Bombyx mori: one gene and its partner. The protein of the gene in region 2 interacts with the protein of the main gene of each other region in a biochemical or structural test. Links are inferred from orthologs where the notes say so. Each region holds a gene or a part of one and is shown on either strand. Other genes may lie near its edges.

Evidence for each region. The genes of interacting proteins can lie anywhere in the genome.
Region 1: the proteins of pre-mRNA-processing factor 6 (region 2) and CD2 antigen cytoplasmic tail-binding protein 2 homolog form a complex in vitro, tested with the Homo sapiens proteins (2 studies listed by BioGRID and IntAct). The link is inferred for Bombyx mori from reciprocal best matches to the Homo sapiens genes PRPF6 and CD2BP2.

What each region holds. Positions count from the first base shown.
Region 1 is NC_085111.1:10,749,730-10,754,010, forward strand, and holds the start of CD2 antigen cytoplasmic tail-binding protein 2 homolog, read right to left. Parts: upstream 2,999-4,281; 5' UTR 1,547-2,998; intron 1,223-1,546; 5' UTR 1,089-1,222; intron 863-1,088; exon of another isoform or gene 617-862; intron 492-616; 5' UTR 479-491; coding exon 296-478; intron 107-295; coding exon 1-106. UniProt on the Homo sapiens protein: Involved in pre-mRNA splicing as component of the U5 snRNP complex that is involved in spliceosome assembly.
Region 2 is NC_085109.1:9,946,654-9,950,403, reverse strand, and holds part of pre-mRNA-processing factor 6, read right to left. Parts: intron 2,634-3,750; coding exon 2,417-2,633; intron 1,552-2,416; coding exon 1,388-1,551; intron 763-1,387; coding exon 586-762; intron 54-585; coding exon 1-53. UniProt on the Homo sapiens protein: Involved in pre-mRNA splicing as component of the U4/U6-U5 tri-snRNP complex, one of the building blocks of the spliceosome.

The sequences.
Region 1 (4,281 bases), on a different chromosome or scaffold from region 2:
GCCATCCATCACGAATTTCTTTTTCTTTTTTCCAATGGTAATGTCCTTGTGTATCAAAATGCCCTTCTTCAAGTTCTTCTTTCATGTTAAAAGGTGTTATTGTAATCTATAAAATAGTACTAATTAATGAAATTAATATTTTATTTGATAGTTATAAGTATTAATTAAGTTGTTAATATTAAATTAGCTGAATTATCCTCAAAAGCATTTTAAGTATTGTTTGGAAAAAGAAACATTTTTTAATTCTCACAACAATTTGAGTATTCTGATTAGGTTTTTGACTTATTCTACTCACTTCACCTTCCATTCCACCAGTTCCTTCCTCTTCACCTTCAATATCATTGGAGTTCATAACATTATTCTTCTCTTCTTCAGCACCACTATCTTCTTCGTCGGAATCCAAGGAATGTTTCTTGCCATCCTTCGTGGCCTTTTTTACTTCGTCTATTAATGCTTCGGAAGCGGGACGCTTTGACATTTTGGTAAAGTAACTAAAAGGAACAAATTTTAATTAAAAACATTAAAAAATATTTGGGTTTATCTAACAAAGACTTTAAACTATAGGCACATTCCTAAATTATCATTGAACACTAAGCAAAGTTTTACTCATCCTCACCCTAATAATATTTTGGGCGCCTTTTCTTGAATAGGTGAACTCAAATTGAGTGAATCAGATTCAACTAGGTTGGTACACGGTTGGTACCTCTTCTTAATTGTGATTGTGTGTCTGTTGCCGTGTGTTAGGTACGCTATCAATGAAATCAATGTTTTTATGTCTATCAAGGTATGGTCTCAAATCTCAATTATTAATTTTATTATGTGTATCAATGACTCGAATATTTAAGTGTATAATCTATGTCTATGACTACGATGTTTGGTTTTAGGACTTTTTGGCGGGAACGCGAGGGGTGAAGTTGTGTGATTTGTTTTATTTTGTCTATTTAGTGTTTCTTCGGGTTTAGATATGTAATAATGGTGGTTTATTAACTGTTTAATATGTGTGTAACTGTATTTTTCTTCTTCTTTACTTAGACATTTTTGTCCACTTTGAGATTTAATTGTTATATATCTGTGCAAAACCGACTTACTTATATTAAATTGCTTAGCTATTTCAACTAAAGACTTATTCCCAAATTCATAGTCTTCTATTGCTGTTTTTAATATTAAGGGATCATATCTCTTATAAAGCTTGCACTCTTTGATACATACACGCGAGGCATATCTAAAAATAGAAAACAATACGTAACTGATAATATAAATATAATTGCACTAATAATTAAATAAAAGTTTTAGACAAAAACATCATGAATAAATGAGATTCTTACCAACACGTTTAAAAAAGATTGTTATAACTACATAGACAACCCTACAATCCTGTACGTATTTATACTTAAGTCGTTCCCATTCAACTTATTGTCGTCCCAATTGACCTCCCTTTCATTGTTATTTGTAGCTCAGGTGACCCCATTAACCCCAAACATAACAATTTTAATATGTATTTTTAAATTATCAAAAAACATTAAAACCAATAACAATTGAGACTTACCGTTAATATATATGATGGCTCAAACACTAAATAAAGTTTTTATATCACAGTCGTCTTATATTATTATCAAATAATATATGCTGGCTTAACCATCAACTGGTGTTCGGTTGTAAAGGACCTAGGCCTACTTATTGACTCCAGCCTGAGTTGGCGAGCCCAGGTCATCTCCGTGTGTCAGTGAGTTACACTTACACTCCGTATGCTTTACCGCCTGAACAATATCCTTCCGCCCGAAACCAAGAGACAATGCTCGTTTAAACTTTGATCTTCCCCATGATCGACTATGGTGATGTGTGCTACTTTGACCTGAATGCAGATCTACTCAATAAACTTAACCGGCTTCTCAATAACTGCATTCGATTTATTTATAATCTTCGGAAATACGATCATGTATCTTCTCATCGCTCCCAACTCAAATTGCTCCCCATTCGACAACGCCGTAGCTTGCGTGCTCTCAGTACTCTTTACTCTTTGTTGCACTTCCCAAATCCACCTGAATACTTAGGGTTTGACTACAGCCAAAATCTTCGTTCATCTCACAATCTTCTTCTTCGCTGTTAGTTCGCAGGTAGTTCGGACTTTTTACATTCTTCCTTCACTATTCAATCTATTCTTCTATGGAATGCGCTCCCACTTAAAATAAGGTCGGCCAGAGTTTAAGACAAGGTTTCGAGTACTTAGAATCAATTAGATGACTCTGCTAAGAGTTAGCAGAGTCATCTAATTGATATTTATTTATATATACACATTTTTATATGTATATATTTATGTATATGTATTTATTTAACAAACAAACAACTGTCTGTACAAACTGTTTAAATAGCACTCGGGAGTTATTTTGCGAAAAAAAACTGTCACACTTTTGGATTAGAAAAAAATAGATGTTGCTTCAGCTGAAGCACTGTAGTGCGCTACCGAAGAATTACACAATCAACGTGAAAAAAGAGCAACCGGTTGGCGATGTATCGCATCCCGACCCGACAGCCTGGTTCTAGTCCAGCGGGGTATTCCGGGACTCCAGTCGCACTGTGTGGGTGGCCTGACGGGCTATCGTACCCAGACGGCTGACGGCTGTAGAGCATTCCGTCTCAAAGGCTCCGTCGACCGGACGTCCTCGGGGGAGCTGCGCTGTCTGTAGTGTTGACCGCGATAACCCCTTTACCTCACCCGGGTTCTGACCTGGAAGGGTATCAGACGATTGGGCGAGAGTGCAGGGGAGTTGTGTAGTGGGTATGGCCCTAAATTCTATCCTTTAGGCCCGCGGTACCGGCGAAGGCGGACTTTCGGCGCGGTATTGTGGGTTTCGTGGAGTCGTAGCGGTCAGTAAGCCCCCTCAACCGGGTAACCGTACGGATTCTACAGCGTTAAAAAAAAACAAAAAGAAGGCCCGCGGTTCACTCCCATACCCCATGCGCCCCTAGGGGCGGGGTATTCCTAGAAAGTTCGGCCCCCAGTCCAAAAAAAAAGATCAAGCACTTCAAACCGCATTTCGTCGACTTTCGCCAGGGAAACTGCTTAGCTGAGTGTTAAGCAACATACCTTGATAAAAAAGTCGTCGGGGCCTAAAGGATAAGACGTTCGGTGCATTCGTGTTGAGTGATGCATCGGTGTTCGAATCTCAGGTGGGTACCAATTTTTCTAATGAAATACATACTCAACTAATATTCTGGATTGACTTCCACGGTGAAGGAATAACTTATTTATTTATTTTATTTATTTATGTACACACAGAAAAAAAGACATAGTACAGAGTAATAGGAAAATTATGTACAAAGGCACTGCTTATTTCTTTAAGAAATCTCTTCCAGCAAACCTGCGAGAGGATAATGAGAATAATAATAAAAAGTGATAAGTGTGTGTAGAACAAATAATACATAACTAAAACAACAAATACAACATGAGAATTATAGTAATGCACTTACACATACCAAATATTGTTAAACTTGAGTACAAAATATTATAAGTCACAGTAACACTCGTATATACGAAGAGTATAGAACCATGATCACTCGGTTGATGAGAGATAAAATTGTTTGACCTTGTATTTAAAAACAGAAACAGACTTGCAAACTCGGATGTCAGCCGGCAACGAATTCCACAGTCTGACCGCGTGCACAGTAAAGGAGTGAGAATAGAAATTGGTTTTGTGAGAAGGGAATAACAAAACAGAACGTTGGTTGGACCTGCAGGGAGCATCAGGAGAACGAATGAAAGAGAATCGCTCACGTAAATATAAGGGAGAAGTGGGCTTATGTAGGATATTGAATAGGAGACATAATATTCGAGTATTCCTACGAAGGCGTATAGGGAGCCATTTAAGTTCTTTGCGAAAATGTGAAACATGATCGAATTTTCTGAGATTGTATATAAAACGGATACATAGATTTTGCATCCTCTCAAGCTTGTTTGAGAGCTCCTCAGTGGCATCCAAGTAGCAGGCATCGGCGTAATCAATTATGGGTAGAATGAGAGCTTGGACGAGAGATATTTTTGTATGCTGAGGTAAGAAGCCCTGCAGACATCTCAACGAGTGCAAGGCGAAGTGCACCTTCCTACTAATCTCAGCAACGTGAGAACTCCACGAAAGATGTCGATCCATACACCCAGGTTTTTAACTGAATCGGTTAGAGTTATTTGAGTCCCATCCAAATAAATTGGGGGGAGTATAGGATCGCTGAGTCTACTGCGCAATTGTTTACCCCCTATAATGATAGCCTGTGATTTTCCCGGATTAA
Region 2 (3,750 bases):
TCCAGTCTCGACAGCAAGATCCACATGGGGACGCTCGTTGGACATTTTTTCAACTGAAAACACAACATTTCGTTAGATTTTCGCGAGTATTTTTACGATTTCATTTAGTGATTGTTTGTTGTCTTTATAATTCGAGGGGTGAAAAGCTATTTCGTTTAAGCGACATTTTTGCCACTTTAGAGTTGAGCCATTTGCAGTTTAAAATTTGGGTAAAATATCATAACATAAAGCTTCTTCAGTTATTTGAATGGAGTGAACTTATTTTTATTTATTTATTTTTTATTGCTTAGATGGGTGGACGAGCTCACAGTTCACTTGATGTTAAGTGGTTACTGGAGCCCATCTACATCTACAACGTATATGCGCCACCCACCTTCAGATATAAGTTCTAAGGTCTAATATAGTTACAACGGCTGCCCCACCCTTCAAACCGAAATGCATTAACGCCGTGCGGACTCACAAGATGTTCTACCACCAGTAAAGTTAGAAGTCCAATTAAAACATCGCATTATTGGTGCTAATACAAGTTCAATCATAACAAAAAAAGATTATTTAGATTATAGATATTAAAGATTATATACGCACCCCTTGACTATATGTGTTGTGAGCGTCTTCGTCCTTGGCCATTTGTTCCTCAATCTGTCCCTTCATCATGTGAAGCTTTGCGTAGTCCCCGAACACTTTGATCGCTTCGTCCAGTAACTTTATGGCTACGTCCAGATTGTTCAATGCCCATTCTAGTTTCGCTGATTTGATCATCACCTAAAAAAGTAAATAAATAGAAATCGTTTTTTTATTTATTGCTTCGACGTGTAGACGAGCTTATTCTATATCAGTTTTTATAGTACATCCATTGCCTCATTCTTCAAACCGAAACGCGTTACTGTTTAACGGCAGAAATAGACAGGGAGGCGGTAATTCCTCGTGTAGCCTCACAAGAACCCCTTTAAGTAAATGTTTTTAAATAAACATCTTCAGAAATGTTTCCGTCATTCATCAAATGTAACAAACAAAATAAAGCATTAAAATCGGTTCTTACACCGAAAAAATTGACGTCAAAAGACATTAAGCTATAACTCTTGTGAAATAAGAGCTAAACGCCACTAGTCGGTCGGGGGGAGGGGGACCTATGACCTCCCTAGAGTGGGTCTCATAATTGCAGAGTACGAACAGACGAATCTTACAATATTAATGTTGATTTAACTTACACCAGCCCACTGAGTTTCTCGCCGGATCCTCTCAGTGGCAGATTCTGGGAAGCACTGCTCTTGCTAGGGCCAGTGTTAGCAACACCTCCGGTTTGAGCCCCGAGAGCTCACCTACACGCTAGGATAAAGCTGAGATAGCCTCTCAAGGCTATCAGCATAGGTAGGAAAAAAAAACTTACTCTCGGTGTGGGAGCTGAAGCCCTAGCTTTAGCCAGCAGCCGTCTCGCTCTGTCGTACTCTTTGTTCTCGCTCTCCAGTTTGACGGCGGCCAACCAGATCTCTTCAGAGTTGGGATTGGCCTGGAAGGCCAGCGACAGGATACCCCGAGCCGCCGGTACGTCGCCTAAACGAAACATTAATGATTGGTTTATTCAAATAGACCCAATCGGTGGTGCTGTGGTTAGCGACCCGAACTGCTGAGGGTGTTGGTGACGATTTCAGCATTGGGTCAGCTCTCGCGTTATAAACAAGTTTGTATGCTCTATATTTGGGTCTTTAATATCTATATATTATGTATAGTAGACTATATGTACTTATTGTCATATTCGAATTTTGAGAAAATTTACTACGACGGTAACAACCATCGTAGGGGACCGCACGCCAGCAATAAATAAATCAAATTGAACTGAAAAATAATTCGAAAGTCGTGTCATCTACAGCACTTCATTTTGTGTGAGTGCTCTCAAAATCTATAAACGTATCAAACTGCCCTTACAGAGCCGACGGGCAGAGAGATGGGCAACATTCGTCTTTACGTTTTTATTGCTTAGGTCGGTGGACGAGCTCACAGCCCACCTGGTGTTAAGTGTGGTTACTGGAGCCCTTAGACATCTACAACGGAAACGCCACCACCAACCTTGAGATTTGATTTCTAAGGTCTCAGTATAGTTAGTTACAACGGCTGCCCCACCCTGCAAACCGAAACGCGTTACTGCTTCACGGCAGAAATAGGCAGGGTGGTGGTACCTACCCGTGCGGACTTACAAGAGGTCCTACCATCAGTAATTACACGATATTATTTCTTCACCGTGCAAGTCAATCGTGAAGATTTCTGAAGTACGTCTTTCATTGAAAAATTGGTACCCGCCAGCGGGATTTGAACACCGGTGCATCGCTACATACGAATGCACCGGACGTCGACTTTAAGCCACGTCGACTTCTAACGTGTTACTGGAACGGAACGAACGGATCGATAAATCGTCCCTGACCTGCGAGCCACTTGGACTTGGCGCCCATGAGCCACAGCACCTCCGACTTGGGGCAGTGCGCGACGGCCCGCTGCAGCAGCGTCTCGAGGCTGGCGCGAGTCCCGTGCTGCTTCTCCAGGTAGGCGGCGCGAAGCCAGATGGACTTCTTGGACGGGAACACGGACAGCGCGTACCCGTACACGGCGCGGGCGCACTCGAACGCACCCTCAGTGGCGCACTACACAAACAATAACACTTATTAAACACATTACTGTAGGCGCGCGAGTTCATGTGCATCCTGAGGAATGCGGTAGTGCTGTGACCTAGTTAATTATGGTAATGTCGATAATAACTACCGATTTAGTCAACAGCTGTCAATTTGGTTAAATGTAACTTAAGGTAATTTTGCAATTTATGAAATAAAATAAATGTGATAACTAATTACTTGTTTATTTCTAATAGAGAAAAATATTCTTTAAATTTCAATTTAATCACTATCAAATGAAAAGACAACCGACAGATCAGAGTCGGAGTCAGTATGTATCTTTTTTCAGTAGGTTTTTTTCTATCTGAACTTGTTGGAAGCGGAGTAGTTATGGTTAAATGACATAATAGCGTTAGTTTAAATTATGACATCGATAAGCTCGCGTCACAACCGTCAGAACAACACTCGACGTCAGACAAACGCGGGGAGGCGGGCGAAGGTGGGGCGAGCTGTCCCCCGCGCATCGCCTCTGGCCCCGATGGACATGAACTCGCGCGCATACAGTAGTAGTTTTCCAATTACAGAGCACAATGCGACTCAGTGGCACACAATGCCGAATTATGCTGAAGCTTAATTGGAACGTGAATTAGTTTTCAAATGCATCAGCAGAGTGCGCTAAGTTCATGATGATCATTGCAATGTTTACAAAAGTATATACCTGTAAAATTAATTTGTTTACAGATTCGAATTCTAAAATGAAATTGTATTCACATTTTAAATGTGGTATATAAAAAAAAAGTAATTATTTGTACCTTCATCCATACTTATATTATTATTTTTTAGCACAGTTTGAATTAACTTTGATTATTTCCAACGAAACTACGACGAAACGAAAGCCTTACAAATTTTTTCAACAATAAAGGTTTACTGAGGTCTGTCACTGAGTTGGCATCGATTGCTTTTTTTTTTTTCCTACCTAAGCTGATAGTCTTTAGAGGCTATTTCAGCGTAACCGTGGCTAGTAGGTGAGCTCACGGGGCTCAAACCTGATGACGTTGCTAACACGAACCCTAGCAAGAGCCGTGCTTCGCAGAATCTACCACCGGATCGGAAACGCGACCCACTGAGAAGATCCGGCGAGAAACTCAGT